Styela clava: one gene and its partner. The protein of the gene in region 1 interacts with the protein of each later gene in a pairwise test. Links are inferred from orthologs where the notes say so. Each region holds a gene or a part of one and is shown in the gene's direction. Other genes may lie near its edges. The genes, in order: aldehyde dehydrogenase family 16 member A1-like and deoxyribose-phosphate aldolase-like.

Evidence for each region.
Region 2: the proteins of aldehyde dehydrogenase family 16 member A1-like (region 1) and deoxyribose-phosphate aldolase-like interact in binary tests that used the Homo sapiens proteins (3 or more experiments, as listed by UniProt). The link is inferred for Styela clava from reciprocal best matches to the Homo sapiens genes ALDH16A1 and DERA.

The regions. Positions count from the first base shown.
Region 1 is NC_135251.1:10,978,197-10,995,481, reverse strand, and holds the start of aldehyde dehydrogenase family 16 member A1-like, read left to right. Parts: upstream 1-10,366; 5' UTR 10,367-10,434; coding exon 10,435-10,527; intron 10,528-11,272; coding exon 11,273-11,401; intron 11,402-13,575; coding exon 13,576-13,664; intron 13,665-14,274; coding exon 14,275-14,465; intron 14,466-14,876; coding exon 14,877-14,932; intron 14,933-15,941; coding exon 15,942-16,053; intron 16,054-17,285. Other genes in the region: uncharacterized protein LOC120336141, read left to right, coding at 115-236, 1,263-1,398, 1,878-2,030; uncharacterized protein LOC120336119, read right to left, coding at 7,628-8,010, 8,278-8,448, 8,712-8,982.
Region 2 is NC_135258.1:16,503,124-16,520,415, reverse strand, and holds the start of deoxyribose-phosphate aldolase-like, read left to right. Parts: upstream 1-8,424; 5' UTR 8,425-8,546; intron 8,547-8,665; exon of another isoform or gene 8,666-8,723; intron 8,724-17,292. UniProt on the Homo sapiens protein: Catalyzes a reversible aldol reaction between acetaldehyde and D-glyceraldehyde 3-phosphate to generate 2-deoxy-D-ribose 5-phosphate. Participates in stress granule (SG) assembly.

The DNA.
Region 1 (17,285 bases):
GATACCCCTATAATACTGATACCTATCCATGGGGCCCAGTACCAATTACAAACATAGGTCTAGCTTATACACTCACCTTTGGTTTTATTAAAAAAAAAATCTCCTCTATTTCAGCCTATCATGCACTACCAGCATCCGAATTGGAGTTCAGAAAGGTCTCCCGATATCTCATCTGTGTTGAACTTGGTTTCAATTTTCCAGAAGTTTTCACAACAACAGAAGCTCGTTCACTGCAGGTAAGGCAACCTCTGCATATTTATTAACAAGTACCTTCTCGTTTGCGTGCAGATGTCTGTGGGTGCTCATTTATCTCGGTGCAAAAGTACGTGGGTGCAAATGTACGCGGGTGCAAATGTACGTTGGTGCAAGGGTGCAAATGTACGTTGGTGCAAGGGTGCAAATGTACGTTGGAGCAAGGGTGCAAATGTACGTTGGTGCAAGGGTGCAAATGTACGCGGGTGCAAATGTACGTTGGTGCAAGGGTGCAAATGTACGCGGGTGCAAATGTACGTTGGTGCAAGGGTGCAAATGTACGTTGGTGCAAGGGTGCAAATGTACGTTGGTGCAAGGGTGCAAATGTATGTTGGTGTAAGGGTGCAAATGTACGTTGGTGCAAGGGTGCAAATGTACGTTGGTGCAAGGGTGCAAATGTACGTTGGTGCAAATGTACGTTGGTGCAAGGGTGCAAATGTACGCGGGTGCAAATGTACGTTGGTGCAAGGGTGAAAATGTACGTTGGTGCAAGGGTGCAAATGTACGTTGGTGCAAGGGTGCAAATGTACGTTGGTGCAAGGGTGCAAATGTACGCGGGTGCAAGGGTGCAAATGTACGCGGGTGCAAATGTACGTTGGTGCAAGGGTGCAAATGTACGTTGGTGCAAGGGTGCAAATGTACGTAGGTGCAAATGTACGCGGGTGCAAACACCCGTTGGTGCAAATGTGCAAGGGTGCAAATATCCGTGGGTGCAAATGTCCGTGAGTGCAAATGTACATGGGTGCAAATGTCCGTGGGTGCAATCTATATGCGGGGGCTGAAATCTATGGATGCAAATGTCGGTAAGTGCAAAAGTAAACAGGTGCAATGTCTTTGGTGAAGTTTCGTCGAGTTATTGGGAAACGCGCTATTCGGGAGTATTTAATTCAAGGCATTTGTTAGATTTATTTGTTAATTATATATACACATATGTGTTTATTTATATTAAACTAATGTCAATAAAAATACGTTTACATAGTATTGTATCAACTTTTAATTTATTTCTATAGTGATGGAGCAGGACGCACTGGCGTATTTTGCGCAATATACAATTTGTGTGAAAGATTCAAAGTAGAAAAACGAATCAATGTTTTCCAAACTGTGAAAGACTTGCGAGATTGCCGACCCGGAATGATTCTAACAGAGGTACACTGTACAAATATTTATTGATGTTTCACCTGTAACTCAAACGTACAATATTCAATAAAATCACTGCGGTGCGTTTGGAAAAAAATATTGATGATAAAATTTATGTTACAAATTTGAAAAGCAAGGAGAGTGCTAATCTCGTTTTCCATGTAACTGTAGAATATACCTAATTATATACCTTATTATATTTGTAATATTCGTAGATTAAATGCAATTCCCGACGTGAAAAGTCGAGGCAGAATGGTTTTATCGTACCTAGTGTGTGTCCATTTAGTTCAAGACTAAAAAAATAAAATACGGCAACTGTCGAACTCAAAAATGTCACGGCATGTAAATATTAATTTTCCTTCCAAATCGGCGCTCATTAACATAAATACAATATAAAAATACCGAAAATAGGCACTCCATAAATGAACCAACATACTTAGAAATATCAAAATATGTATTACACTTGAGTATTTACATTTTTTTCCTAGGATGATTATAAACTCTGCTACGATATTATGCTGGAATATATTGATTCATTCAATCTTTATGAATATATAACCTATCGTGCACAAGAAGTATCTGATTCGGCTGGCAGTGAAAGCTTGTATGAAAATATAAGTGCAATAAGAAAAGCAAAATGAAAAAGAAACATTAAATTCTAATTTGTAATGCTTCCATTGTGCAAGTAGAACAGATAACGAATTATATTGTGGAACATTGGGAAGACTTTTCTGATCTATGCATATTCAAGACATGAATGCTCTTAATAAACTTTTTATTCTTAATCTTTATGCCTACTATTGTATTTTCTCTATGTATATTTATCGTTAATATTTTCAAGTTATGTCAAGCTAAAAATGTTATTTGAGATGCACTTATAAAATATTATAAACGAATGCTGACAAGTTATAAAATTCCTTAAATTAATTTTAAATCTGCTGCATATAATCTATAATAATCTATATAAATCCAAACTCGTCTTTTATACGAAAGTTCGCAAATAGCAAGTCAATAGGTAAATGATTGGGCTTCTGCGTGAATAACTACTTATCCTTTCTCCTATGCGTCGGGATACTGTATGCATATAATGAAAGTATGCTGTAGCAAGAGTGAGGATAACTATTCTAAGCGATTCAAGAGTCTTGCTGCACACGTATACAGAAATGTATCTATGTTGCAGCAAGACTCTTGAATCGCTTAGAGACGAAGAGTCTATTAGTAATCTTCTCAAAATTGCCTAGCTCAATTCTTCAATAATGATAATTCTTTCAATCATGCTTTGCTCGTTTTTTTATTTTTGCAAACTGTTTTTAAATCTTATCTCCACTGCTATATTAACTTTTTTTAATTTGTATTTTCATTATCTATCTTCATGCAATCAAAAATATATTGATTTTTTGTTGATATATGTTTTCAAGATTAATAGAGCATTTATCGCTATATATAGTATATGAATATAACTTGTCTCTAGTTTTAGTTATAGAAATTAATGATTACGTATGTCTTTAAATCATGAAAAATTTCCGTACCCGTTTGATGATAACTGTTTCCAAAAACTCAATTATCCATGTTCATAGATTATCTCTATCCAGAGAGCACTTTTATATTAAAATGCGGTGCCGGTGCAGAGTGTCATCTACGAATCATTATGATCTATAAAAATTACGTATAGACTATCTTGTGATTTACAACTTTTATATTAAAATGCGGTGCCGATGCGGTGTAGGGTGTCATCTACGAATCATTATGATCTAGAAAAAATTACATATAGACTATCTTATGATTTACAATTAAAATTTTATCATATATTTCCAATTATAATTAGAGGAGTGAATTGAACATTTATAACCCTAACCACATTTGCTGCATAGATAGACCAATATTTCCTAGTTTATCTAGCCAGGCGATACATTCATCTGCCGATTGTGTTGAGCTCGACAGTTGCAGCTCACACTAAGCCTTAGCAACAAGCGTGTCGTCGAACCTTTAATTACCCCGCATCGCTTCGCTTTTTTGAATTCCTCAAACGATAAATATATGCAAGAGTATTGCAGAAGTATCGCCTGACCATTGAGCGGCTGTGGCATCTTCCAACAGCTAAGTATTTGCAACGAATAATTGAGTGGACAAGTTTCTCTACACTATATTATTATGACAGATTATCAGCATTCTTTTTCCGAAGCATAATTTTGAGATAAAGGTTCAAGTTAATGTCCGAAGTATCAAAATTTTCGGGACCCGGTTAATAAAATTTCGAAGGTTGGAGTCAGAAAATTAGGTTAACAAAATTTATCTTTGAAGTAAAAGTCGATTCTTAAAATCCTTCGAAGTTGTGTTAAAAAAGTTTTTTGCCTTTAATTCTATGACAAATAGTATAAACATAAAATTTGCTTTTGTCCTATGTATTGTTGAATAATGTGAATTGTTAAAGAATATTGAGTTCGTTTGACATTTACGTTTCATGTGGTCATCAATGGTCATCCACGAATGGGGCATAGTCCGCATTTCTATGAAATTTACCGCGTTATTATAACGACGTTATTACCTTTATTCAACGCATCAATATTCATAAACTGTCGTTTGCATGTCATAAAATTGGCCTTTTTAACTAAATTTTGATTTAGAAGCGCTATTTAGGACGCTTTTAAAATATTCATTGACTTTTCTAAATATTTCAATCATCTTTTACTGCCGCCATTTTTTGTTAAATTCATTTATATTATTTAAATTTCATCATCCTTTCTAGATTTTTGTTCAGTTTGTTTTATTTTTATCTCTCTCTCATAAGTATCCTTATGCAATCGGAAATATCTTGGTTTTTCATTATGTATATATTCCAAATTAATATATTAATTATACTTTGTCTCCAGTTCTATCTTATGAAAATTATCGCGTTTATGTAAAAACTGCTTTTAAAATTGCGTAGAAATCTGATCTGGTGCGTTTTAGAAAGTTCAGCGATCACAAATGTCTAGAAATTATGCATTGTTGGTATCAGCAGCATCAAGTTAAATTTTGCACTTATCTTTTATTCAAATACGAGGAATTGAATTCATTTCAGAACTATTTAGGTATTATTTTACATACGGCTGTTATTTTTCGCTCCGAGCTAGCACCCATGGATATATAACAATATATAAGGAAACTGCAATTATTTTGAAATCACGGGAAAATTTCGGTAATATTTATTACACCCTGTTGTGATGGCGGAATCGTGTCCGGATTCGATTCTTCGCACAATCGACTCCGATGCATTGAAATCGATTCTCGAGGTTAACACTTGGATTGCAAACAATGTGTAACGTTTTGCGGCAATTCCTTCAGATATACGGTATGTATAAACTGCTTTACTGCTATGTTGAGTTGCTACGCTCTACGATGCCGCAAACTTTACTATATATATATATACTCGTATATATATATACTTCGCTATAGAAGATATTTACGTTTCCTCATTTCTAAAATCTCTGTGGGTTCTGATGGATTCTATTTTTATGCGATTTTGTCTCCTGGGACAGATTGGATACCCATACTACTTAGTTTTGGCATTCTTGTCCGTTCATATATTGGAACTTAGCTCTCTTGTTTGATTTCATATGGTATTGCTTAGGTGGGCATGTTTTCTCGGAAAGATATATCAAGGAATCGGGATTCAGAATCGAGAATCGGAATTGAAAATTTAGGAATCGGATAAGAATCAAATACTTGTAAGTAGTGATACTTAGCATCCTTAATGACAGCCATTGTATTCGATCTTTTGGGCAATTTAAATTTTTTAGTGCGATGGGCTCGTGTTAAGACCACTTACGATAGCCTTTTCTATTTTAGAATTGCTAGCAAGCACGAGCTATTGTTATCTACGCGTCATTGTGATCTATAAAAGTTATATTTAGACTATCATGCGATCCACAATCCAAATCACAGCCAGAGGAACGACTTTTTTTTGGTTTATGAACATTTAGAATAATCGAAGGCATGTCCCGCTGAGGGCGCCTTTATCGCGATGAAATTAGTCCATTACTCATTGTGTCGTTTGCTTAACCATAGCCAGAATTCGAATATTGAATCACTATAAATATCCAAGGAGACATTCGAAATAATATATAATTATTATATTATTATATATAAAATCAACATTCTAAATTATAATCAAAAATATTATATATACAATATATATATATATATATATATTGGTATATTTACAAAATAAAGAGTTATGGTATATCTGAGGTTTTGTATTTTTTTTAGTCTTCGTCTATGTCGTTGTTAATCAGTGAAATGGTGCTGCTGTCCTGGCGACGTCTTTTGGTAATTGATGAATACATTTTGCGAAACCAAAATAGAATTGCCGTAATACACACAATTGATGGTAAAAAGACAAAAAGCACGATCAACACAACAAAACACGCGAGAATCATTAGTAGACGAGCAAATGTGCATCCAATGAAGGAGGTTGCAATGAAGAGATGAAAACCCGAAGAGTAGTGCGAACAAAGATTTCCAGGAAGAGGGATTTCGGTTGCCACATACCAAATTATTGCAATTAAACCAAGGAGCGCTAAAAAACAACTCTAGGTTCATTACTGCGGTTTGAATGTCAAATAAAAGGATTCGTTTAGTGGCCAATATATACATCAAGAGTTATAGTTAGTTATTATAGCCTCAATCAACAGTTCAAATACCTTTACAAAATGGTCAATCAGGTTGAGTATTAATTAATTAAAATTTCTAGTTTCATGTAAGAATGAACATTGAAGCGTTTTTTTCTAGTATTGTTTAAAAGGAGATTATAAAAATATAACGAAATAGAATCTCACCATTGACGTCTTCAAAACATCTCTGATAGAATATAGATTCTTGTGGTGCGTTTGGTATGTTGTCAATGTCATAACGCGTACAATAAAAATAGAAAGACAGAGCAAATCGACAAAAAATCGCAACGACTAGTACGAATATTGTGAATATTTCTGCACCATTGAAGTCTGCAAAATATAAAAAAATTCAAACAACGAATGGTATGTTAGGCGTCAAGTGTGTTTAATTAATATAAGCGCGTTGAATCATGAATTGAAATAAAAATCTTAAGTTCAAGAGTTTTACTACGTGACGTGCACATTTGGGTAAAACAGAATTTTGATAGCGATACTTCTTCTTCATGCCTTCTCATTTCGTTATTTTTATCTCAAATATATTATGATTTGTATATCGCTGTCTTGGCTAGGTGATCATAATATTTATTTAAAGCGATACTTTCACCAGCATTTTCGAATACCTCATTATTTCAGAATTGAATCGAATACTTTTTTCGAATCGAATCTCGAATACTTGGGGGTCAATGGAAATATGTAATTATATGATTATATTACTTTTTTATATTTTAATCGGTGCTGTCAACGCACGAAGTACTGAAAACCTAGAATACATCACTCAGATCGATTGCTGAATGTTCAGACACAATAACAAGAGAGCTACGCACAAATATATGGACACGTCAGACCAGAGCGAATCAGTCCTTACCGGTACCTTTGCCGCTACCGGTACCCTCAAAAAAGTTCTGAATTTCCAGTAGCAAGAATTTTGCAGAATCAAAACGTACAGCCAGTCATGACACTGACTAAAATCCGTGTTCCCATGGATAAAAAATAATACAGCAAAATTTTAGACGAAATATCAAATTTCATAGAATTCACGCAAAATTTTGAAATAAATAAAAGTAATAGCCTTCTAGCGAAAAAATTAATCTTTAACCACTGAAAATTTCAAAGCAATTGGTCCAGTATTCGAAGAGAAAAGCGACTTTTTAAAAACGTGTCAAAGAACAAGAACAACAACAACAACATAATATTGAAACGATCGTTATGTCCACTACGTGTCCAAAAACACGTTTTTATCAATTAATCACTACAGGAAATGTCAGCCAAATGTCAGAATTGCGTCGACAAAAACAAAGCTTCGATAGAAAGAAATTGGGAAATTCACCTCGACCATTGGCGGAAAGAAAAAACAAGACGGCGGTGATTCGAAATTTTGCTTTGAACCGATTCGAATAATTTAAAATCCGATTTGAAATGCCCAGCCTTTACTAGCACTCACTTTTTCTCCAGAGGAATTGGCACTGCGGAGGTTTCGTTGAGTTATATTCGGCACATCCAATATCAGTAGGAGTAAGGGGTCCCAAGTCCGTGAGACGACATTCGTGTAATAAACCCTTTCTCGCTATATCGTTTTCGCCAGCTACCTAAGTGTTGCATAGCAAACAGTAAATCGAAACTAAAACATTTGTCAGGTTCCACAAAACAAAGTATTTTTGATTTGAGTGACGCTCGGTTTTGTTACAGCAAGTCTTTGCGCATCTTTGTTCGGGTTCGTTAGGCGCTGTTTGTTGTTGTTCTTTACAGCTGCATTTTTGAAGTTTGCCTGCTGCCGTTACAATTAACCACTTTATTGTTTTCCAGTCATTGAAAATTGGAGCGTTTGACGAAAGGATTGCTATAATAACAGGTAGAGCACGAGCAAGAGTGTAGTAAAATGGGATTCCGAAATAAGCACATAACTTCCCCAATCCACTAGGAGGCACATTCAAACAGAAATAAACAACGACAGCAATGAGATCACAAGTATCTAAACACAAAGTTGCATTTCAAATTTCGTATCAAGATAAATTATTCACTCGCAAACATCAATTGTTTATGAAAGGTTGCTGCGCTACCAACTATTGAAAAAAAACGTGTTTCTTCTACGTCTTTGTATGAAATACTTAAACGAAGATTTTTTTAAATGGAATATTTAGTTACATTATTCGCAAGTATATGCCTACGTGCAGTCTTTGAGATGATCGGCTATGTAGATTTCGCTAAACACTAATGTTAGGACTATAAGGTATCTCACCAGCCAATCGATTGACATTATTGTGAAATTGTTCCAAATCTTTGTGTTCATCAGATTGTTTTTCAGTTTCATTAACACATATATTAATCAGTATTGAAAGAAAATAGGCAACTCTTGCGACTATCGACACAGCGATGAAACATATTGTAACTACTTCATCAATCTCTTTGTCTGCCATGAAAAATTGAAATAGAATAAATAGAATACTTTATTTGATTATATATACAACGATTGTTTTTTGAATCTAAATGGGTTAGTTTATATTTGTCAAGTTACGCGAGGATTAAACAAGAACTCAGTGGTCATTCCACATTTTTTGCAACGCTCAGAATGTCTTCATGTTTATTCCATGGAAGATATATATACAATAAACACTCGATGTGATATTTATAAGTTAGTAGCAAATTCACGTAAAAAATATATATACCACCAACCCAGTTTTTTGCAGCGTTCTTCAGTGCTGTTTGTAAAACAAAGAGAGCAACTTCCTTGGGCAAAGCAATTATTATAAGAACTTTTGATTTTGCACTCTTCAAATAATCCCTGTCTTGCCGATCCACTTTCTGTCACCAACCAACTGTCGCAAACAATAGAAAACACTGCAAGGGCCAGCATACCCATTCTGAGAAGAAGTTTTATGCCTTTCCAATATCTATTTGTAGTTTCAAGAATATTTTCTGTGTATTCTTCCCAGCACCACCACATCACACATGTCGATTTGTCACCATAAAACATTGTCTTCTAACTTCTGTTCAGTACAACAAAGTATTAGTGTTACTTGACGAAATTATGTGTGTATTAAGAATAAACATTCTTAGCCATCATTAAACTTGGCTTTTTATCAATTGTTTTGACACAAGTCTATTCTAACTCCAAGAACAGAATGATGATTAAATACAAATAATTAATAAACCAAACATTTAACTCAGGTTAGCATACCTAAATCTTCTCATATTTTAAATTATAAGCATATTGCCAAATAATTCAAAACACGGCTACATTTCAATTTTGAGCTTATATCCGTCAGATTGATATTAAAACAGCGGAAACACTTTACACTATAAAAAGAGCAAACAAATTTCGACCTTGCCAAAATAGCTATAAGAAAAGATTGCAGAACTGAAGAAACGAATTATAAACACGAATGCCGTAACTTGACGGATATCAAACAAAAGGAATCAAAGTTTAATTTCTCATACAACCGAGGGTGGTTCACTGAGTAAACTAACGATAAAACCACTCTTTTATATCATATGTGTACTCTTTTTATAGCTCATAACTCGGAGAAGCTGCAACAACTCGATGATGTTTGGTTTGTAGATCTAAAACGTGTTTAATTCATACTGTCCATGATAATAATAAAAAAGCTATTACCCGCCAGCTCTGAACTTATAACAACGCAAAAAACTAACCCTGACTGACTGCTCGATTTTAGCTTATAAATACCAAATTGCCAAGCCATATGTAGGCTATTTCTTTTTTTTAATTCCGTGGCTCATAAATATTACCTTTTTATAATTTAAAATCCAGGTTGGCTGTGGGTTTTTATATTTAGATTTCTCAATTTAACTGCCTAATTACAGGTATATATATATATGGTGTTGGTAGGAATCATTTTCCAAATTTTAGGTACAGTAAAATGTTATGTGATGTTTTGCTGAAAATTTTTTTATGACCAATAAATATTCAAATTGATAGAGGTATATATATGCTTCCCTTTATTTCCAACTGATCAATGACTCGATCTCACGTGCATATGAAACGATGACCATGATATCATTCCAGAACCGAGCATCTGGATTGCTAAACTGGTTGATTATTCTCATATGAGCTATACTGAAAACGGACGAGATGCCATGGTTTTCCGTTTTATTGAGCCGTATTTCGTGGATAAATGTGAAAATCCCATTTAATCACTATGTCCGACCTGAACTTGAGAGTCTTCACATATGACAAAGCCGTATTATCGACTTTCGACTCTTCTTATTTTTTCTAATTTACGCCAATCAGCCGGGATTCGAAGTTTTTGTGCAATCCGAAAAGAAAACCATCCTTTTCGGTGCACTTCCATTTTCTTAGCGTCATCTAGCGATTGTAATATTATCATTTGCAGCGGAGCAAATAACCAGTTTGCAAAACGTGAAGTTTCTCTGCAAAATGGCTGCGTCTGTGAAAGCGGGAAATTCAGTAAAAGAATTATTCGATAGCATGGAATATGGACCTGCACCAGAGGCTGATAATGTTGCTAAGGTGATTTTTCAAGCAACTATTTTTAAAATGAATGTATACTAACTGCAATATCTGAATATCCTGCAGTAGGCTAGGCATAGGTCACGAGTCTGCTAGTGCTGTAGTGTACTCTGAGACTAAAGCACTATTCATTGGGCAGTACAGCAGTAGGAATTTTGCCTCAGTTGGTAAACACGGGCAATTCAAAGCATAGTTAAGTTACCTTGTGCTGAGTATAAATTATGAACTTCAGGTATCATCATAAATACTGACAGACTGAATTACAGAAATAGTCAGTCAGTCAGTCGTTTATTTTTCACCAAAATGAAACATACTCAGAAATACGGTAACTCGAAACACAAATGTCAGAATGTGGCTGTGTGGTGTGAAAATGAATGCTCTTACAGTCTTAGTATTCAAATAACTAAATAATGCCAAACATAATTGTGTCAGAGACTGAGAGACAACTAGACTGCCGGGAGGACTGCTGAGTTGCCCGTCTTTCTGTCTTTTTACATTCTTTTACGACAATGTTTTAAACGATACTGCAATATGGGTCTTTTACCTATTTATAGCAGCCAACAAGTTGTCCAGTCATCAGCAAGATAATTATGTGCAATAGGATTGCTGAACTGTCGCCACATTAGGGGAGTTCACGCCTTAATTCACACCAAATCCTGAAATCAGCACTTCAAGTTCAGAAGTTATAGTAGTTTTATTCAACTCTTTTTTTTGTTATTGACAATTTCTTTTTTACTTGTAACAGGCCTGGTTGAAACAGCGTGATAACGATCTTGGGCATTTTATTAACGGTGAATGGTATAAACCAGAGGCAAGAAAAGTATATGATACATGCTGTCCAGCTACCGGAGAGAAACTTGCGTCAACTATCCAGGTGTTTACTTTGGCCCAAGTTTACTAAACGCTATTCCTTTTTAAATAACATATGGTATGTTGAGTACCAGGTGATCCGAACGGAGCGTGTGTTTATGCGAAAAACCACTGCCAAGGGCGCTGATTAGAATCGGGAAACACTAAAAGCACAACCATAATTCATCTTACCTGTTTATAATTAATGAACTAACAATGATTGACACAGAATACAGCAGGGGGTTGGGAAAATGGCTCTTTGCTTTGATAGTGTTTTCTTAACCTGTTCGAGATTCCTAACCGAGCCCAATTTTGTATACCCATTTTTATTCATGTCATACGACCCCCAAAATTTACCCAATATACAATAATTATATACCATTGGAAAGGTATTTTAGAGTACTATACGCTAGATGTCACTGGAGGACCGTAAACTAAAACACCTGTTTCAAGAGGTCTCTCATAACGTCAAAAAATAACAAAAATATTTACACTCTCTCATTCTATCAGCTGTTGGATGTCTATAGCTATTGTAAAGCTGAAATGTGACTATACAGTTGACTGCACATTGGTTTTCTCTTTCATATGATACTAAACGCTTTTCGATAGCGCGCGTCGTTCAAGCGTTTTGGAAATTTTCCGTTTGAGAAGTCACCACATCGAATCAGGCCAGGCTAAGCTTGATAGATCGATCGGTTGTTCGTTTGTGCTTTATCGCGTTGAAAGCTTTTGTGAGTCATAATAAAACATTTATTATGATTCATAAAAGCTTATAATCGTGAGACAAGGAGAATTTGCGAGATAAAACGCCTATGTGAACTAACTTTTTTTCGGTGAGGCAGCTGCGATCAAACGACTCGATATTTTTATAACTTCCTGACGTTGTGAGATGTCCACTCTCCTATGTTATGTAGCATATAAAATGACCTTCAAAATAAGACCTTATCATACTAGCTTTTGTTATTGGTTAGCGCGCAACGCCAAGGTTTATGGAATCATTTTCTTGTTGTGCGACGTTTTTATATCGCAGCGGGAAGTACACGCGTGATATGTAAGCGAAATTTTATCACTTCTAAATCTCATATAAGGTTTATTCTTATATTGTTGTGTGGGGAATAAGATTTCCTTTCAAGCAAGACCATAACAAACATTCCAGACCTCATGGTTTACACACAGCATTCGCGCACGTCCCGCATGCGTCAGTTCGTGATGATCAGGTTAATAGCAGTATTTGAATAGTGGTTCATTTTTTGTTCAAATCATTCTCTCCACATGTAATGTGCATACAACCAAAGATTCTAATCATCACTCTATATCATCGTTTGGCACATCACTGAGAACAAACCAGGGTTCGCAGATTTCAATCCTGCATAGTATAAACATATACAAGAGGAATGTTATATTTCTCAAAGTTATTAAATGATGGTTCACTTAATAGCTGTACATTATGGCTTGCTCAACCATCAAGTGAATTTTTTTTCTGAGCCAAGTAACTAGAATAACCAGACAACAGACCATGTTACGCAAGATATCATAAATATGGAAATGAAGTCCTAAAATATTGAGCTCATTTTCACTTTGCCACCTCAACCAATAAAATCAATAAAATGGACATACAAATAGAGCCTCCAGAATGCAGAACCGCTAAATGCAATACTGAATATTCAAATATAGGGAATAGATGTGAAATCTGAATCATAGCTTTGCAAGTAAAAATTGATAGACCTCCTATATCATATGTTGGGGAAGAGGAAATGCTTCCAGAAGGCTTATAGTCATGACTCATGAGACTGACCATAACCTCTTTTTTAGGGGCTCCCGAAGTATGCGAACCAAGATGGCGGACATCGGAATGTAATATGTGTACTGGGTTAGGGTTAGGCCATAATTTTAGGTACAAATACTACGGGAGGCTCTTGGCTAGTCTTCGAACTGATAATAGGACTAAAATAAGGAAAATTGGAAAAAAATTTTCGCCTAACCCTAATCTGTTGCCCATGTTACGTTCCGATGGCCGCCATCTTGGTTTGCATACTTCGGGAGCACCCTTTTTTTTTTTATCTCTATGCTTGTACTTGATTCCTAACACATTTTTACATACTTTTTTGTTGTTTGTACTCACTCGTTGTAGTTTTGCACACGAACATGAAATCATTTTTTGATATGTATTATTATTAATGTAATGTTTGTTTATATCAGGGTGCTCAAGAAGATGTGGACTATGCAGTTGGCTGTGCAAGAGAAGCTTTCAAATCATGGAGTCAGCTAGAACCTCACGTCAGAGCAAGGTATTTTTTTATCATCTAGGATTAATTTGGCCATATTATCCATAGTATAATAATATATTCAATCATAATTTTTGTTGCACATAGTTAGACTCTGAGCGTCTGAGGTAAGCTTAAATAAATAAAACCCTCACTATGTGTGTTCTCGCCAATCATAATTTATATTTAGCTTATATTATATTTTTTTTATATTGATTAAGATTAATTATCGCTGAGTGAGATACCCATACTATTGTACATACCGTGAGTGGGTATATCCAGATACTTAAAAATGAGACAAATCATTTTTTATTTTAAAAGTATGAGGGCACATGCCCAAGGGGGTGTCGAATTTGACTGCTGTGTACAAACAATATGCCCACCACCTACTCCAATGTGCAATAAATCTCTTCTAAAAGCCAGAAATGTTATATACATATATGGTAAAAAGGTTAACAATTTTAAAAATGCTGCAAAATATTTGAAGGGAGATATACATTTTGTAACAGTAATGAGGTGTAAATAGAATAGGTACAATTCTTTATAGATTTTTACAATGGGACTTCCAATATAGGGAGAATAAGAGTGATATTTTTTTCAATCTAGATATAATTTCTGTCTAAACTATTTCTAGGCACTTGTATGCAATTGCAAGAAATGTACAAAAACACCATCGTTTGATAGCGGTGATGGAATCGTTAGATAATGGCAAATCAATCAGAGAAACAAGAGATTGCGACATTCCACTTGTTGCAAGACATTTCTATCATCATGCTGGATGGGCTCAACTGATGGACACTGAAATGAGGGGGTGGAAGTCTGTGGGTAAGTTAATAGTAAAGATGATCAAAAAATTAACCAAATAAGGAAGTTTTCAATGAAGTGATTATTAAAAGTACACACTGTTATTGGTAACATAATCGAGCATTGAAAGACCTCACCTTTGATGGAAAAAAGTGTAATGACATACTTTGGGCTGGGAGTGGTAATATTAGGAGTGTGTGTTATGGCGAAGTACTTGTGATTTGAGGGATTATGGTATGAAATTCATATCAATTTAGAAATTTGAACAGCATTAGACATTTTTGCATGATTAAGTTACTAATTGCGAAATTATTACACTTGAATTGTAATCCATGGAATCATACAAGAATATTCGAACTTGGAATATAGAAATGAAGTGTCCATTTTTGTTCACTTTCAAACCTGCTATTCTTTCATTTTATTCTTTTGCAGGTGTTATAGGAGCGATTGTTCCTTGGAACTTTCCACTGATGTTGCTCACATGGAAGGTAAATTGGACTTATAATTTACATCCAATTATAATATTGGTTTTTTAAAATCATTTTTTAATATTGTTGTTTAATTAGTTGCATATTCGCCAAAGATAATTCAAATTGAATAATTGTTTCCTGCTTTGGAGATTTGCCCACTTCTAGGGGAGAAATATCCCTATAAGCCCATCATTAAACTTGCACAAATTTGTTAACAAACTGCTATTTACCGTACTAAGCAGAAAAATAATTTACGGTATATTTTCCGCAAATGTTTAATTTATTTGGAGAATTCTATTGAAGTAGATTTCAAAGAATAATTTTAAAATTTGAAGTCATTCACAGAATATATAATAATTTTGTTAAAGGCTTAGCTTATATCTTCAAATTTATGTTGTATCTTGTATATTACCCTATATATCAGAAATGTATATACTATCAAGGTAACAACGTTTAACTGATGCAAAGTCAACATTGTGCTCTTGTAAAGGAGTATTTATTATATGAATGTTTTCTTTACATGGTGTTCATGTTTGCATAATCATTCCAATAGCGTTCTTGTACGACCTTGCAAACTAAATAAACTGATTTATGTTGAAACGTCCATATTGGGCATTTTATTCTAGTTGGTATTGAATAGTTGACTTTTTGAATAGTTTTTAGGTTTTTTCTAAATGTGATATTATTGTGAAATACCGCATTCACATGTAAATATCAAGTAGAGTCTATTAGTAACATGATTATGGTTTGAGCTCAGATTCATTCAAAATCTGGCTCCATTTTGATTATAAAATTCGTAACCGTTATTTTACAAAATGTGTTTAATTTTGATTTATGAAATGAAGCTTGCTTGGTCATGTGCCTAAAATAAAAAATTTGCGTATTCAGTGTGATTTAAGTGTTTCGGCAAAGTTTTAATAGAGTTATTGAATGCAATATAAGCAATGTTGAGTTTTGACTGGCATTCAGATTTTGCATTTTTAACCATGGACATAAATGAAATGCTTATTTTATCTTGTTTTCCCAGGTTTGCCCAGCACTTGCAATGGGAAACACTGTTGTACTGAAGCCAGCTACTTTCACAAGATTGTCTGCTTTATTATTGGCAGAGATTTGCCATGAAGCTGGACTACCTCCTGGTAAGAATGATCTAACAGATATCGCTTTGCTGTGTATTTGGTCAAAATAGGCAAATAAGTGTTAGGGACATGCTTTCAGTGGCATTGCTGGTTATTCCATGTAGACTTGCAGGTTCAAAACCCTTGGTGTATATTTTTGTGTGTGGGATGGCTGTTTGACACCTCGCTGTGTCATAAGGACGTACTTCCCCATATTCGAGTCGATGCATCTTGATTTAATTTCCGAACTATAATTTTCAAAATTAACCAATCCACATCTAACTTGAATTGAAATGCCAGAAGAAATGGATCAGAATTTGATTAAGCTGAATATTTGGTTTTTCTTTCCATCTGGTTTATTATATCCCAAATGTCTAAACATGTAATAATTGATAATTCTGCATCCAGAAGCTAGGTCAGAATCGATAATATTTTCAACATTTCAAGACTAAACGGCAGTTGAGTTGAAATGTATGTTAATTTGGATCCCAAAGATGGATTAGGATATTTTAATAAAAACATAGAATTGGATAAAATTCTTCTTACTAACAACTCTTCAGCCCTAATACTAACAATGGGTTTCGAACTTACAAACTTTTCTTATATATTTCAAAGAATTCAAATAAAATGGCAATACTTTGAGTTCTAGATCTATGTGCTTAAAGGCCGGGATACACGACAGTGTGCGAACTCACCGCAGCGTATTTTTTTGGTTTGTTTTATGTTATTCGTCTGCGGTGGACTGCGTTTCGTTGCGCTGCGTTTATCTGAGTTGGCGAACGCTTGAGTAGCGTTTTCTGACCGCAGTTCACCGTACTGACAGTCTTGTTCTGCTCGTTCTGGTGGTTTTCTGAGACAACTGGTTGTATTTCATGTGACAAGCGAAAGTTTTGTGCTAATTTATCGTTTTCCAGTTGCTTTTATAACGATAGAAGTTTAGTCCCACTAGGGCTACCGGTTACCGTGCGGTATGTAATATCACTAGTACCGGTATGATAACGGTACATTGGTACGGTAACGGTATGATATGCGGGATACTTTGTGTTGTCAAGTGTGTTCTTATCGTTGACGGTTATTCCAAATCGTTCAGCTTACACCTATTCGATTTTTTTACCAGATTTTAACTGAACATTGAATATTAAATTATGGACCCATAGGGTACGGTATCGGTACGCACGGAAGACAGGTCTGACGTCACGATTAGCGCATACCGCACAGTGCGAAGAGTCGCGGTGCGGTGAGTTATAATGCTG
Region 2 (17,292 bases), on another chromosome or scaffold:
ACATGTACCTTATGCTTTATGAGGAAGTGAATAAGCGATTGGTGTGAAACTAAAAGTAAATGAGAAATAAATTTACTCTTACATTCTCTCTTAAAGATACTCAGGTTATTTTCTAATATGTAATATCGCCCCTCTTTTCTAAGTTTCTGATAATGCATCTTTCAATTGGTTTTTAAATTCTTTAAAATTTCGGCACGAAACACGCGCACCAATTTTTGATCTACATAATGATTTTCCCTTATCTTAAAAATGAAACTGGATTCTGAAACCATGCCCATTTTGGCAAATGAATATAGGTTATTTTTATTTATTTTGTAAAAATTGTTCGAAATACCTTCATAACGTTTCTGGACTTTGAATCGCTGACAACGAAATACTAGAAAAAGTGTGGTGCGTGATATATAGCGGTCATCGTGATATTTATTCTCGATTACTGTGTACTTTTACTAGGATTTTTCCGCATTGTTGTAAACACATAATATTAATTACATTAACTGGCGTAACTATTTTTCGATTATTAAATAAGCAAATCAGTTAATGGCCTATACACTGTGGAGTGTGGACTAATTTGGACGCATCCCACTCAGATATATATATTGCCTGAAATTGAAATTCAGATTAAAAAGATCTACTTAGCTCTTGAAATTTTTCTAACGAACTGGAACTCTGGCATATTTAAAAGCTCATGTTATTCTTTTAGCGACAGCATTCCTAATTAAACAAATGGGGTACAATTTGTTGCTGAGACTTGTGGCAACGCAGGAATTAGGACACGTCTATGTACGGAAAGTCTGAATTGCTCCTGACGATGCCGAGTTATTTCGTTTTCCACCCCCGTTCCCTCTGTTCTCCCGTTTTAAATATATAATTATGCAACTTACGGTCATCAGAACACGAAATATTGCATTTATTAGGAAAAGTTTCTGGTAATGGTAAAAGTTTTCTGGAAATGGTAACTATATTTGAAAGAATATATTTTATTTCAAAGAACGGGTAATTATTCAGGTGATGGTTCGATTTAATGGTGGGAGGTACCAAAATACAACGTGTAGTTTTAACTTGCTCATATAAATACTTTCAATTGTTAATACAATAAATTATCGCAAAACAACTTAATAATTATGGCGATTTCAAGACCCTCAACATCATGAATCGATATTTTCTAGTTCTTTTGCCTAAAAGTGATGTAAAGCACGTGTAATGCACTTATTATAGACAAATACATTTGAATACAACAAAAAACGACATCGAACGCACAAAATTGAGATAATCGATGAAACCCTATAGTAACTTCGATATGCGATAATTAGTTTTCTAACCCCATTTATTTGCGAATTTAATGCTTCTCTGAAATACCAAGTGATTGGTATTGACATCATTGGTTCTCATCAAATAGATCAAAAGTGATGGCCGAAAAAAACGATACGAAAAACGATAATCCAATTTATGAAATTATGGAAATTTTGTCATGTGGTATTCAAAACTCCACTATGAACAACTTTCAAAATATCGCTATTAGATCTCTTTTCAGGTTACACTTTGACCTCAATAAAATAGTCTATTCTATTTTTGAAATTGCAATTACTTCGCAAAATATAATTTTGTAGACGATGAGATTTTAGTTCTGAACAATTCCTGAACAATACTTTTCAGTATGTATACTGTCAATTTATTATTTTTCCATGTGTGTCATCTATTACGAGTATAAAAATAATTAAATGAGTAGTCTCATATTTTCATGTGCATGGTCTAATATCGTCTGTTACACGAGAAACTCATTTGTGATTAGGCAACCGAGAGCACTTCAGTTCGAAAGCGCAGTCGGAGTCAGATGTCGTTACGCACGACGAAACTTGATACGAAAGTATATTCGGGGTTTCGGGAACAAACGAACATTTTACAGGGAACTAATCCGTGCCAAACTTGGCAAGAAGGTCTGTCACGATGTCTACAAAACCCACAAAAATGATCAGGCCAAAGGAGGAGGTTTATTTTTTGCAAAATCGGGTTTTTGGGTCTCGGATGCGAGTACCCGTCAATCTAGTCACACTCGAGTGATTTCAATGTTTACAGGTCATTGAGCTCTGTTTCCGGGCAGAGCGTTTTGCAGACTATATTTTTACAAATATATTCAACAGGTGGGCAGTGGCTTACAAGCAAAGCATTTAGGGGAAGCGTGAACGTTTTTAATGATGGACTATGATTAAATAGCCAGCTCGCGGTGTCGACCATATCCAATGATGTTCCTCATTCCCGCAAATAGGCTAAATAACGTAGTCCCACGAAATTGGGCGACGACGATTGGGCACCAACTCTATCAATATTTGTCATTTGACTCATTTATCAAGCTAAAACATGCGAAAATCACAAAAAAAAAACTCACTAAAACGTGCCAAAGTCTTTCTCTATACCTACATTTGGTGTAAGATTCAAAACTCTTCATAACTGAGAAAGTGCCTCCGCACGTGTTTTTAAAAACATTGCTTCCTAAAAGCAGTATGCCAGGAAGTCGCAATTAGTTTGGTTGTCGCACCTGTTTTCTCTCAGGTTTGCTATCGATTTTGCTTCAAACTTGGAGTATGGTATAGTTATCCATTATTGCCGAAACCGGAAAGATATGGCAGAAATTGTCATTTAAATTTGTAACGAAATTTATATAAGCCTATCCTTTGAGAATCTCAATATTAGAATGAGTAAACATTGTTTGAATATGAATTGTCATTTCTGTTGAAAGCTACAATTTTAGGCATTTACCACGAATGACTAACTTTTAATTCATTTGTAATTGATACCTACATTTTAAGTAATTTACGTCAATGCGGTGAACTGCCCAGTAGTTCATTATTTCTTCACCATACTTAAAATACGCTAAACAATCTTGTAGCTTTGGCAACGTAGGCCCGGATATGAGATAGCAAAATATGTGAGTGTTATCGGAAGAAGTAAACGACTAGTTTGAAGAGAAAGGTGTGAGAAAAGTGAGGGCACACGATGCACCTACCGTTGAATGGTTACGTCCTTTATTATCGGCTTATAAAATGTAGAAATACTGTCTATATTAGTATTTATATATATATATATATACAAATATAACTTTCTCATTCCTTACGCAATTGGATAAAGTACAGAAATAATATTCATATATATGAGAAACTTGGTAAAAACATACTACATAGAATGTGGATTCATCGAAAACTGCCTCGATGTAATACACTCTGATGTGTTGCTCATATTCGAAAACAATCTACCGGTACATCATCAAAAAGGTAGGAAATACATATTTAAATCAACCCAAACTACTTTTTTATACAAATAAAAAACAGAGTTAGTTTATTGTTTACCTTTTCATGCCCACAGTGTTGCATCTACAAATCATGCTCAGATATGTCGACAGCAGGACATCTCGATGAAAGGAAGAAGTTTGCTTTCACTAGCAGACTATACTAGAGAAGATCGTCTTCATTTATTGAGCAGTGCTGCTGACCTAAAGTTAAGGATGAAGCAACTGAACAAAAGGTATTACAAATCTTTCCCAATGTCTTCCTTTGTCGTGGAAGATTGAGAAGGGTAGGAATAGGGTAGGGTTTCTGTGTTTATCCTGGGAATCGAAAAGATGATAAGACAGCTCAGTCATATATATATGATGAACTCTTTGAATGAAGCTTTTTTGAATCCCTCTCGATCATACTCTAGGTCGATTTCATTGTAGCATATAGTTCTAGAATCTAGATGATGAAGGAAGCAATAACCGACTAGCTGTTACGTGATCCAGGAAAACTTTCATAAGTACACTTAAGCATCGACATCGCCTTTATAAATGTTATAAATAGCGGGGCCACAATTTATGCATTATGGTTTTTATAAATCTATTCAATTTGGTATACGCCCATGTATGCAAAAGTATATTAGCGCAAAATAGCAATTAATGTTTGTGAAGCTAGTTATTCATTGCAAAGAAATATGACAGGTACGCGGATTGGGAAAGCTTTGAATTATGTACAAACTAAAATACTCTCAGAATCTAACGGTAATAGGCTCGGGCTCCGGGCATTGTCGTTGTTATGACAGATGCTAGACATCAGGATAGCATTGATGAACCACTTCAAAAATTATGGGACTTGAACATAACCGTGAGTTAGTTTTCTCTTCATTTTCTATTCTTCAAAAATGATTGGCTTTCGAAAAAATGGTTAATAATTTTAACTTTCGATCTATGTTTCTTATACGTATGCTGTTTGGTTGAAAAAGAAATTGGAATGAATTTGTTAGGAGGACATTCTTGCGTCATACCATATGAAGACGTTCGGAGCAACGCTAATGGAGGGTCGGTAATTAATTAGAAGCAAGCTTTCGGATCTTCCGGGAACTCGTTTATGAATATTGATAAATCAATGAATTTAGACAATCGTTAATGTATCTGCTAACACTCTCGCTATAGTTCATATATATACGATGGAAATGAGCAGTGAAAAAAAATACTTTACTCTGTCGATATATATATATATATATATATATATATATATATGTTGATACAATCTATAATTATATGTATAGGCACTAAATTTGGCTGTAAATGCGCTGGCAACCAATTCAATCAATCCAAGAAAATTTGTAGGTGATAATTATTTACATATATTTATATATATATATAAATTATGAACTAAGAAAATGGGCGCTATTTAAAAATTCAATGTGTCGTCGTAGTCAGTTTATTCACAAGTCTGATATATATATAAAAGAGGCACTGTACAAGCACGTATTGAACTGTTCGCTATGGGCACTACAAAAATATTTTTTCGTAGCAATTCACATAGCTACTTGAAATATATATGTGAGAATCTGTAGATTCTACATGACGCACATTTGCGCTTTATTTTAAATTCTGTGCCGGCATCCCGTCAGCTTAATCATGTACATTTATTACAATTCATGACGAATGTAATAATGGTATTTACACGGATATATATTGAAAGAGTTCTTTCTCTCCACCTGACATTTTCTCCATATAAGTATTTATAACATGTTATTTTCGCTTTCGGAATACTTTAAAACTCATCGCTTTATTCCTAAGTTGGCTCTCAAATTGTTTTGTGTGGGAGTCGTTATTCTAATTCACCAAGAGACGAAAGAAAAAATTTGCGTCCTAAAAGTTTCCAGAATGCTTACCATACGCTAATACATTGGAGTTATTACATTGAATTAGATTTCTCAAAGTCATCAGATAAAGTGCAGGTTGAAGTATTCAGGTTACTTATTTACATTGAGCATTTAACTTAATAATTGCCATATTGAGAGAGTTTACTATAATATTGGCGCCTTGTCGTCCTAGTCTCTTGCGATGTTACCGTACAAAACATAGCTTTTGGTCTTCACCTTAAATCTAATGCTGCTATATCTGCACAAAGGTTATTCCCACTGTATCTATGGCTGGCTACTAACACGTGACACAAGTAAAATGATAAAAAAGGGTAAAAAATAAATGAATGAATAAATAAATATGAAATAACAAACTGCAGTTTCACGTGGTAAATGCACGTTCAACACATGACCCTAAACAAACATAAATTCCTATTTGAATTGCTTATAGGCTCAGTTGTGTAAAGTATAAATCAGTAAAATCTAAAACAAAATTGAAATTTGAATAATACTATTATTAAAGGCACCCATTTTCATTATATACAATGAACTTTGATAAATAATCAACTGAACTTAAAAAAAATCGGTTATGCGTTGAGTCTACAACACCTGTTGTCAAAATCAGAATTTGCATACAGAATGAAATTGAATCTGGCAAAAACATAATGATAAACGAGGTGTTGTTGACAAAGGCACAACTGAATCATCAAATATTTCAGAAGAAACAAAGATTTCTCTCTACAACGTCTCTCTCTGTGCTGTCATTGTCACAGGATCGTCACCAATCGGATGTAGTAACATAATATACATAGTCGACTTTGTCTGTAAGATCAAGAGAGAAAAGTGAGGTGTGAGTGTGGAAAGTTACTTTAAGCTGTGTTATTGAAAAAAAGTAATAAACAATACACTGTTTGTAATAAACAATACACTATCCTGATAAAATTATATTGTAAATGAAAACAACCCACCTGTATGACTGATAACAAGCTTATAGTTAGACTTTTCATTTTCGTCAAAATTGTAAAAAAAATCTGAATACACAATCTTGCACTTATTACTTCTGACAAGAGTATAACAAAATTTAAAAGCTTCCTATAATCGCTGTCAGCCAGTCAATTGAGTAAAAAAATCCAATGTTCCATTGCAATTCATTGATAAAATTCCTAATTGTATGTATTGAATTCTTGGAAATAAACACGTCAAGAATGTTTTCACAAAAAGCCGTTAAAGAATCATATCGCTCCGTATTTTCGAATTTGAGATTAAAGTAGAAAAACATTGTACATATGCAACAATGCTCCACTGCAAAATAAAAAAGAAGGCAAACCATGTAGTAGATCTAACTATAAATACTTGATAAATAATATATTCACGAAATTCAAAATCAATAAAATATGTAATATGTTTTATATGACAGGTTTCAATTTTGTACAATGAAACATAATTGATTTGCGCTAAAAATTAAATTACATGAAACGGGTGTTGCTAACGAGATATTTATAGTAGTACCAAGAATGATAAAAATACTTCTTAAAATATTGTTGGTCGCAATTGCGCGTATGAGAACGGAACCTATATACTGATATCGAACCGCATTATGAATGTGAGATATTACCAAATTACAAATGTTTACTGAAGTCAATAAATATACATATATAGACTAGAGTATAGCAGGCTTGCTGGGATGGGACAGCACACATTTGTATTTCCCATGAGACACGTGGTACACGAAAACCGTATGATTTTTCTCGGGGAAATGATGGTAAAACATTTCGTTATTGATTTTGTGTCCATATATTTGAGCATAGGCCTCTTGTTGGTTATAAAGAGCAAAAAATATCCAGCATCAACAATATACTTCGTAAAAGGGCTGATGGACACATGTATAATAGTTATGAATATAAAGTTAACAAATAGCGCATGATTGCCAGTAGGTATATTCATGTCAAAGATAAATAACGCACAACCGGTGTATAGCAAAACGATATAATTTGCCGACGTTTCGAATTTCTATTCAGAAAACTTCATCAGGGCATGATATAAAGAGTACACTGTCGTACATATATAGAGTAGAAAAATAAAAAAAGATAGTAAAAATTAAACGGCGTGAAAAACTGAAAAAAGGGGACAATATGATAATAGATCCTAGTGAATAAGCGCAAGTTCAAACAATTACGCGACTATCTAAACAATGATTTATATACATGCGGGAACAATGTAGTTTCTTTATCGTTCATTGAATTTTTCTCTTCGTTGATATGATAAGATTCGAGAAATAGTCTTTTTCTGTAGTGAATTTCATGTTCCAATATCCTGCTGTTATCCCAATCAATGCTGTGATCAGTAGAAAGGGCATGTTTCGGAAGGGCCGATTTTTCAAATTTCGCAGCAATCCTCTCGCACATAACCATCCCTACATGGGATTCGAACCTGCGAACCCACAGAGTAATTAGAGGTGCGGTGGCGGGAGAATTCCTAACGCTTAGCCCGTTGAGCCACACCGCCGAGCCTGTTTGAATGTTTGAATTTATTTGTGTATTTGGAATGGTTTTGTTGGTTGAAATAAATGAAAAGATATACTGAGGCATTAGGATAAAGTAGGGGGTCGTGGCATCGGCCAGTCATCTTTGCGTCGGTACAATAGGTTATCAAAGTGGAGTAGGAGCAGAGTAATTCTGTGTTCTGTGATTGCATTTATTGGATAGTAATTGAATATTTATACCAGGATTATAACACAAAAGTAGAAATCCAGTTTTCCCAGGTAGGGAGGGACGATTTGAATCCCCAGAACTCCGCCTCTTCGGCTCCGTATGTCAATTTTTGTATTTCGAATTTATTCTCTCGCGATTACACTTGTGTTTTCTCGCAAAGTGCCTGCAAACGCGTTTGCGGCAGACATCAAATATCGTTATCTCAGCTTGTATATTCAGAACGCGAAGACGGCGTTATCGCGCCATTTTATTATTGGTGCCGACTGCCTGCCCTCTTTCAGGCGTTTTTCCGATTGCAACAATCTCAATTTATTGAAATAGTGAAACATTCTTGATGTTAAATTAAATGACTTTCTAGTTCTTCCGGAAAATGATGAGTACCCGACGTTAGATGATAAAACATCATTTGCGATTAATTTAGGTCAAATTTTGCTTTCCACTACACCCGGTTTTCGAAATACGAAGTTATAACGCAAAACAGTGCGTTTTGTTACATTTATTTTGCGCTCCCAATAAAATACATATACCTTGAATTTCGTGCCGCTGATAAATCCGTTCCTATCGCCCAAGCGCGGCACACGCCTGGTCGAATGTCGGGCGGTATTTCAGTCGACGATAAATTAAAAAAGCCAGATAGCTGCGTTGAGAGAATACCATGACGCATCACTCAAGCGTAACGAGAGATATGTCTAACTTACGGTACACAATATATCTTTATTTATATTTCATTTATTTATTATTTACATATTGAATAATCCACATTGTGGATCCATTTAAAAAAAAAAAAAAAAAAAAAGTCGAAAAAAGCGTGAGCCAACTATATTAAGTTAACTATGGTCAATGCGACGACTACCATCGGCTTGTGCAACTGTAAAGACCACTGTGAAGCTAGTAGCACGCCTTCTTCTAATTTTACGCAGTAATGCGTTAAATCTCTCTTTTGTACTTGTCGGAGATCGGTGGTGCGTAATGCGGGCGAGTCTTCATTTCCACACGGATAAATGACTTTGGTTTATAAATAAATAAGTAATTCAACACTATAATAAGTAAATTTAAGTGTATTTCACAGTAAATTAAGAATATGAATTAATCGTCTGAGTGTAGTAGGGACTTTCGCTATTTTAAGCCAACTAAATACTATTAATGTACACATATTGCTAGGTCTGAAATTTTGCATTTTATGAGGTAATAATAAGACATCCTCGTATCTTAAATTCGTGCGAAAAAATCAACCAAATGACATTTGTTATTCTCTGTGTTTTCAATAACGTGTGCAGGGGCGTAACCGAAATTTTTCAAGGGGCCTGAAATTTCATTTGTTAGATGGAAATAGCTAGTAGGGGTTCGCGACTCAAGGGATACTTGGATGATAGTCGAGTTTTTGTATGATGCTGTTTTTTAATATCCTTTATTACTATCATGGGAAAATGCGTGCCCATTGAAACTAAACGCCAATTGAAACGTAGATTTTCCCTGAGCTTGCGTTGTCGTGATTTTGACGCAACAATGTGAAAATTCAAGGCTTTGTGTACAAACTGTGAAATCTCTAAAGACAGCGTGCTGCGAGCAATGGAGAAGTGATTATGCTTATTGTAATCTGGGAGATATTTTAATAATTCATTAGTTAAGCATGCGACAAGGGCAACAATATCAACAAGACGATTTGATTTAGTTACATATGGTCATTAAATTGGTGTTGCAACAAATTGCTAGTCAGTGTATCACAACTTTCTTCGGTGTCTGATTACCGGGGGTTCGCGTTGATTGTTTCGTGACTTGGGAGGTACTTGTCAGAAAAAAGGTGTGAGAACCCCTGAGCTAGCTGATCCGACCGAAAGCCGGAACAGGAGTGTTTTCAAGAGTCTTGGATGTTTAAAAACAGTTTCAAGCTACGAAAAATTGCTATGCAGCTACAGAAAGATGCATTTTTACCTTCCAAAACAGGAGAGGGCGGGGGGCACGCATTTGGGTAATTTGAAAAAAACAAACATTTCGCTTCTATGTGTATTCTGTTCCTGAAAATGCCCTATTTCACCGAAATCGACACAGGCGAAAAAAACGTAAAATTTCACAACTTTCAGGCTGCAGTAGGATATCTATCCGATTAAAAGGAGAGAGATATTAATTTTGATAATTATTTTAGTATATAGACTCTTCATACCACAAGTTGAGTTGTTGGAAACAAAATTTTGCAATTATGTACATTCCGGTACTCATAATTCCTCAATTCGTCGAAATCTTCATAGGCAAAACAACGTAAATTTTCACATTTTTCAAATTACAACAGCAAGTCTTTCCGATAAAGAGGGGCGAGATTTTATTATTGAAAAATATAATAAGATATACACTCTTCATCCCACAAGTTGAGTTTTGGAAACAAAATCTTGTAATCATGTGCATTCCGTTACTGAAAATGCCCTATTCCGTCGAAATTTGCATAGGCGAAATAACGTAAAATTTCACATTTTTCAAATTACAACAGCATGTCTTTCCGATTAAGAGAACGAGATTTTATTATTGAAAAATATAATAAGATATACACTCTTCATCCCACAAGTTGAGTTGTTGGGAACAAAATTTTGAAATCATGTGTATTCCGTTACTGAAAATGCCCTATTTCGTCGAAATTTGCATAGGCGAAATAACGTAAAATTTCACGTTTTTAAAATTACAACAGCAAGTCTTTCCGATTAAGAGGGGCGAGATTTTATTATTGATAATTATTTTAGTATATATACTCTTCATCCCACAAGTTGAGTTGTTGGGAACAAAATTTTGTAATCATGTGCATTCCGTTACTTAAAATGCCCTATACCGTCGAAATTTGCATATGGGCGAAATAACGTAAAATTTCACATTTTTCAAATTACAACAGCAAGTCTTTCCGATTAAGAGGGGCGAGATTTTATTATTGAAAAATATAATAAGGTATACACTCTTTATCTCACAAGTTGAGTTGTTGGGAACAAAATCTTGTAATCATGTGCATTCCGTTACTGAAAATGCCCTATTCCGTCGAAATTTGCATAGGCGAAATAACGTAAGATTTCACATTTTTCAAAGTACAACAGCAAGTCTTTCCGATTAAGAGGGGCGAGATTTTATTATTGAAAAATATAATAAGGTATACACTCTTTATCTCACAAGTTGAGTTGTTGGGAACAAAATCTTGTAATCATGTGCATTCCGTTACTGAAAATGCCCTATTCCGTCGAAATTTGCATAGGCGAAATAACGTAAAATTTCACATTTTTCAAATTACAACAGCAAGTCTTTCCGATTAAGAGGGGCGAGATTTTATTATTGAAAAATATAATAAGATATACACTCTTCATCCCACAAGTTGAGTTGTTGGGAACAAAATTTTGAAATCATGTGTATTCCGTTACTGAAAATGCCCTATTTCGTCGAAATTTGCATAGGCGAAATAACGTAAAATTTCACATTTTTAAAATTACAACAGCAAGTCTTTCCGATTAAGAGGGGCGAGATTTTATTATTGATAATTATTTTAGTATATATACTCTTCATCCCACAAGTTGAGTTGTTGGGAACAAAATTTTGTAATCATGTGCATTCCGTTACTGAAAATGCCCTATTCCGTCGAAATTTGCACAGGCGAAATAACGTAAAATTTCACATTTTTCAAATTACAACAGCATGTCTTTCCGATTAAGAGGGGCGAGATTTTATTATTGAAAAATATAATAAGGTATAAACTCTTTATCTCACAAGTTGAGTTGTTGGGAACAAAATTTTGCAATTATGTGCATTCCGTTACTGAAAATGCCCTATTCCGTCGAAATTTGCATAGGCGAAATAACGTAAAATTTCACATTTTTCAAAGTACAACAGCAAGTCTTTCCGATTAAGAGGGGCGAGATTTTATTATTGAAAAATATATTAAGATATACACTCTTCATCCCACAAGTTGAGTTGTTGAGAACAAAATCTTGTAATCATGTGCATTCCGTTACTGAAAATGCCCTATTCCGTCGAAATTTGCATAGGCGAAATAACGTAAAATTTCACATTTTTCAAATTACAACAGCATGTCTTTCCGATTAAGAGGGGCGAGATTTTATTATTGAAAAATATAATAAGATATACACTCTTTATCTCACAAGTTGAGTTGTTGGGAACAAAATTTTGCAATTATGTGCATTCCGTTACTGAAAATGCCCTATTCCGTCGAAATTTGTATAGGCGAAATAACGTAAAATTTCACATTTTTCAAATTACAACAGCATGTCTTTCCGATTAAGAGGGGCGAGATTTTATTATTGATAATTATTTTAGTATATATACTCTTCATCCCACAAGTTGAGTTGTTGGGAACAAAATTTTGTAATCATGTGCATTCCGTTACTGAAAATGCCCTATTCCGTCGAAATTTGCATAGGCGAAATAACGTAAAATTTCACATTTTTCAAATTACAACAGCATGTCTTTCCGATTAAGAGGGGCGAGATTTTATTATTGATAATTATTTTAGTATATATACTCTTCATCCCACAAGTTGAGTTGTTGGGAACAAAATTTTGTAATCATGTGCATTCCGTTACTGAAAATGCCCTATACCGTCGAAATTTGCATAGGCGAAATAACGTAAAATTTCACATTTTTCAAATTACAACAGCAAGTCTTTCCGATTAAGAGGGGCGAGATTTTATTATTGATAATTATTTTAGTATATATACTCTTCATCCCACAAGTTGAGTTGTTGGGAACAAAATTTTGTAATCATGTGCATTCCGTTACTTAAAATGCCCTATACCGTCGAAATTTGCATATGGGCGAAATAACGTAAAATTTCACATTTTTCAAATTACAACAGCAAGTCTTTCCGATTAAGAGGGGCGAGATTTTATTATTGAAAAATATAATAAGGTATACACTCTTTATCTCACAAGTTGAGTTGTTGGGAACAAAATCTTGTAATCATGTGCATTCCGTTACTGAAAATGCCCTATTCCGTCGAAATTTGCATAGGCGAAATAACGTAAGATTTCACATTTTTCAAAGTACAACAGCAAGTCTTTCCGATTAAGAGGGGCGAGATTTTATTATTGAAAAATATAATAAGGTATACACTCTTTATCTCACAAGTTGAGTTGTTGGGAACAAAATCTTGTAATCATGTGCATTCCGTTACTGAAAATGCCCTATTCCGTCGAAATTTGCATAGGCGAAATAACGTAAAATTTCACATTTTTCAAATTACAACAGCAAGTCTTTCCGATTAAGAGGGGCGAGATTTTATTATTGAAAAATATAATAAGATATACACTCTTCATCCCACAAGTTGAGTTGTTGGGAACAAAATTTTGAAATCATGTGTATTCCGTTACTGAAAATGCCCTATTTCGTCGAAATTTGCATAGGCGAAATAACGTAAAATTTCACATTTTTAAAATTACAACAGCAAGTCTTTCCGATTAAGAGGGGCGAGATTTTATTATTGATAATTATTTTAGTATATATACTCTTCATCCCACAAGTTGAGTTGTTGGGAACAAAATTTTGTAATCATGTGCATTCCGTTACTGAAAATGCCCTATTCCGTCGAAATTTGCACAGGCGAAATAACGTAAAATTTCACATTTTTCAAATTACAACAGCATGTCTTTCCGATTAAGAGGGGCGAGATTTTATTATTGAAAAATATAATAAGGTATAAACTCTTTATCTCACAAGTTGAGTTGTTGGGAACAAAATTTTGCAATTATGTGCATTCCGTTACTGAAAATGCCCTATTCCGTCGAAATTTGCATAGGCGAAATAACGTAAAATTTCACATTTTTCAAAGTACAACAGCAAGTCTTTCCGATTAAGAGGGGCGAGATTTTATTATTGAAAAATATATTAAGATATACACTCTTCATCCCACAAGTTGAGTTGTTGAGAACAAAATCTTGTAATCATGTGCATTCCGTTACTGAAAATGCCCTATTCCGTCGAAATTTGCATAGGCGAAATAACGTAAAATTTCACATTTTTCAAAGTACAACAGCAAGTCTTTCCGATTAAGAGGGGCGAGATTTTATTATTGAAAAATATAATAAGGTATAAACTCTTTATCTCACAAGTTGAGTTGTTGGGAACAAAATTTTGCAATTATGTGCATTCCGTTACTGAAAATGCCCTATTCCGTCGAAATTTGCATAGGCGAAATAACGTAAAATTTCACATTTTTCAAAGTACAACAGCAAGTCTTTCCGATTAAGAGGGGCGAGATTTTATTATTGAAAAATATATTAAGATATACACTCTTCATCCCACAAGTTGAGTTGTTGAGAACAAAATCTTGTAATCATGTGCATTCCGTTACTGAAAATGCCCTATTCCGTCGAAATTTGCATAGGCGAAATAACGTAAAATTTCACATTTTTCAAATTACAACAGCATGTCTTTCCGATTAAGAGGGGCGAGATTTTATTATTGAAAAATATAATAAGATATACACTCTTTATCTCACAAGTTGAGTTGTTGGGAACAAAATTTTGCAATTATGTGCATTCCGTTACTGAAAATGCCCTATTCCGTCGAAATTTGTATAGGCGAAATATCGTAAAATTTCACATTTTTCAAATTACAACAGCATGTCTTTCCGATTAAGAGGGGCGAGATTTTATTATTGATAATTATTTTAGTATATATACTCTTCATCCCACAAGTTGAGTTGTTGGGAACAAAATTTTGTAATCATGTGCATTCCGTTACTGAAAATGCCCTATTCCGTCGAAATTTGCATAGGCGAAATAACGTAAAATTTCACATTTTTCAAATTACAACAGCATGTCTTTCCGATTAAGAGGGGCGAGATTTTATTATTGATAATTATTTTAGTATATATACTCTTCATCCCACAAGTTGAGTTGTTGGGAACAAAATTTTGTAATCATGTGCATTCCGTTACTGAAAATGCCCTATACCGTCGAAATTTGCATAGGCGAAATAACGTAAAATTTCACATTTTTCAAATTACAACAGCAAGTCTTTCCGATTAAGAGGGGCGAGATTTTATTATTGATAATTATTTTAGTATATATACTCTTCATCCCACAAGTTGAGTTGTTGGGAACAAAATTTTGTAATCATGTGCATTCCGTTACTGAAAATGCCCTATTCCGTCGAAATTTGCATAGGCGAAATAACGTAAAATTTCACATTTTTCAAATTACAACAGCATGTCTTTCCGATTAAGAGGGGCGAGATTTTATTATTGAAAAATATAATAAGATATACACTCTTTATCTCACAAGTTGAGTTGTTGGGAACAAAATTTTGCAATTATGTGCATTCCGTTACTGAAAATGCCCTATTCCGTCGAAATTTGTATAGGCGAAATAACGTAAAATTTCACATTTTTCAAATTACAACAGCATGTCTTTCCGATTAAGAGGGGCGAGATTTTATTATTGATAATTATTTTAGTATATATACACTTCATCCCACAAGTTGAGTTGTTGGGAACAAAATTTTGCAATCATGTGCATTCCGTTACTGAAAATGCCCTATTCCGTCGAAATTTGCATAGGCGAAATAACGTAAAATTTCATATTTTTCAAATTACAACAGCATGTCTTTCCGATTAAGAGGGGCGTGATTTTATTATTGATAATTATTTTAGTATATATACTCTTCATCCCACAAGTTGAGTTGTTGGGAACAAAATTTTGTAATCATGTGCATTCCGTTACTGAAAATGCCCTATTCCGTCGAAATTTGCATAGGCGAAATAACGTAAAATTTCACATTTTTCAAATTACAACAGCATGTCTTTCCGATTAAGAGGGGCGAGATTTTATTATTGATAATTATTTTAGTATATATACTCTTCATCCCACAAGTTGAGTTGTTGGGAACAAAATTTTGTAATCATGTGCATTCCGTTACTGAAAATGCCCTATACCGTCGAAATTTGCATAGGCGAAATAACGTAAAATTTCACATTTTTCAAATTACAACAGCAAGTCTTTCCGATTAAGAGGGGCGAGATTTTATTATTGATAATTATTTTAGTATATATACTCTTCATCCCACAAGTTGAGTTGTTGGGAACAAAATTTTGTAATCATGTGCATTCCGTTACTGAAAATGCCCTATTCCGTCGAAATTTGCATAGGCGAAATAACGTAAAATTTCACATTTTTCAAATTACAACAGCATGTCTTTCCGATTAAGAGGGGCGAGATTTTATTATTGAAAAATATAATAAGATATACACTCTTTATCTCACAAGTTGAGTTGTTGGGAACAAAATTTTGCAATTATGTGCATTCCGTTACTGAAAATGCCCTATTCCGTCGAAATTTGTATAGGCGAAATAACGTAAAATTTCACATTTTTCAAATTACAACAGCATGTCTTTCCGATTAAGAGGGGCGAGATTTTATTATTGATAATTATTTTAGTATATATACTCTTCATCCCACAAGTTGAGTTGTTGGGAACAAAATTTTGCAATCATGTGCATTCCGTTACTGAAAATGCCCTATTCCGTCGAAATTTGCATAGGCGAAATAACGTAAAATTTCATATTTTTCAAATTACAACAGCATGTCTTTCCGATTAAGAGGGGCGAGATTTTATTATTGATAATTATTTTAGTATATATACTCTTCATCCCACAAGTTGAGTTGTTGGGAACAAAATTTTGTAATCATGTGCATTCCGTTACTGAAAATGCCCTATTCCGTCGAAATTTGCATAGGCGAAATAACGTAAAATTTCACATTTTTCAAATTACAACAGCAAGTCTTTCCGATTAAGAGGGGCGAGATTTTATTATTGATAATTATTTTAGTATATATACTCTTCATCCCACAAGTTGAGTTGTTGGGAACAAAAATTTGTAATCATGTGCATTCCGTTACTGAAAATGCCCTATTCCGTCGAAATTTGCATAGGCGAAATAACGTAAAATTTCACATTTTTCAAATTACAACAGCATGTCTTTCCGATTAAGAGGGGCGAGATTTTATTATTGAAAAATATAATAAGATATACACCCTTCATCCCATAAGTTGAATTGTTGGGAACAAAATTTTGCAATTATGTGTAATCCGTTACTGAAAATGAGCTATTTCGTCAAAATCCATATCATAGGTGAAAAAACCGTGAATTTTCACAATTTTCAAGCGAATGTAGTATGCCTATCCGATTAAGAGAGGCGACATTTTATTATCGAAGAATATAATAGTATATATGTGGAACATCATACAAGTTGAGTTGTTGGGAACAACATTTTGCATTCATATGTAATCCGTTACTGAAAATATTATAAATACAACACATGTGGTATATTAATCGGAAAATTCGAGTTGTTGGTAGGTACATTTTTTATTTATGTGTAAATCCTGATTGACAATGCCCTATTTTATCAAAAGTTGCTGACACCATGAAACGTTGAGTTCCACAATTTGAAAGAATTTTATACGTA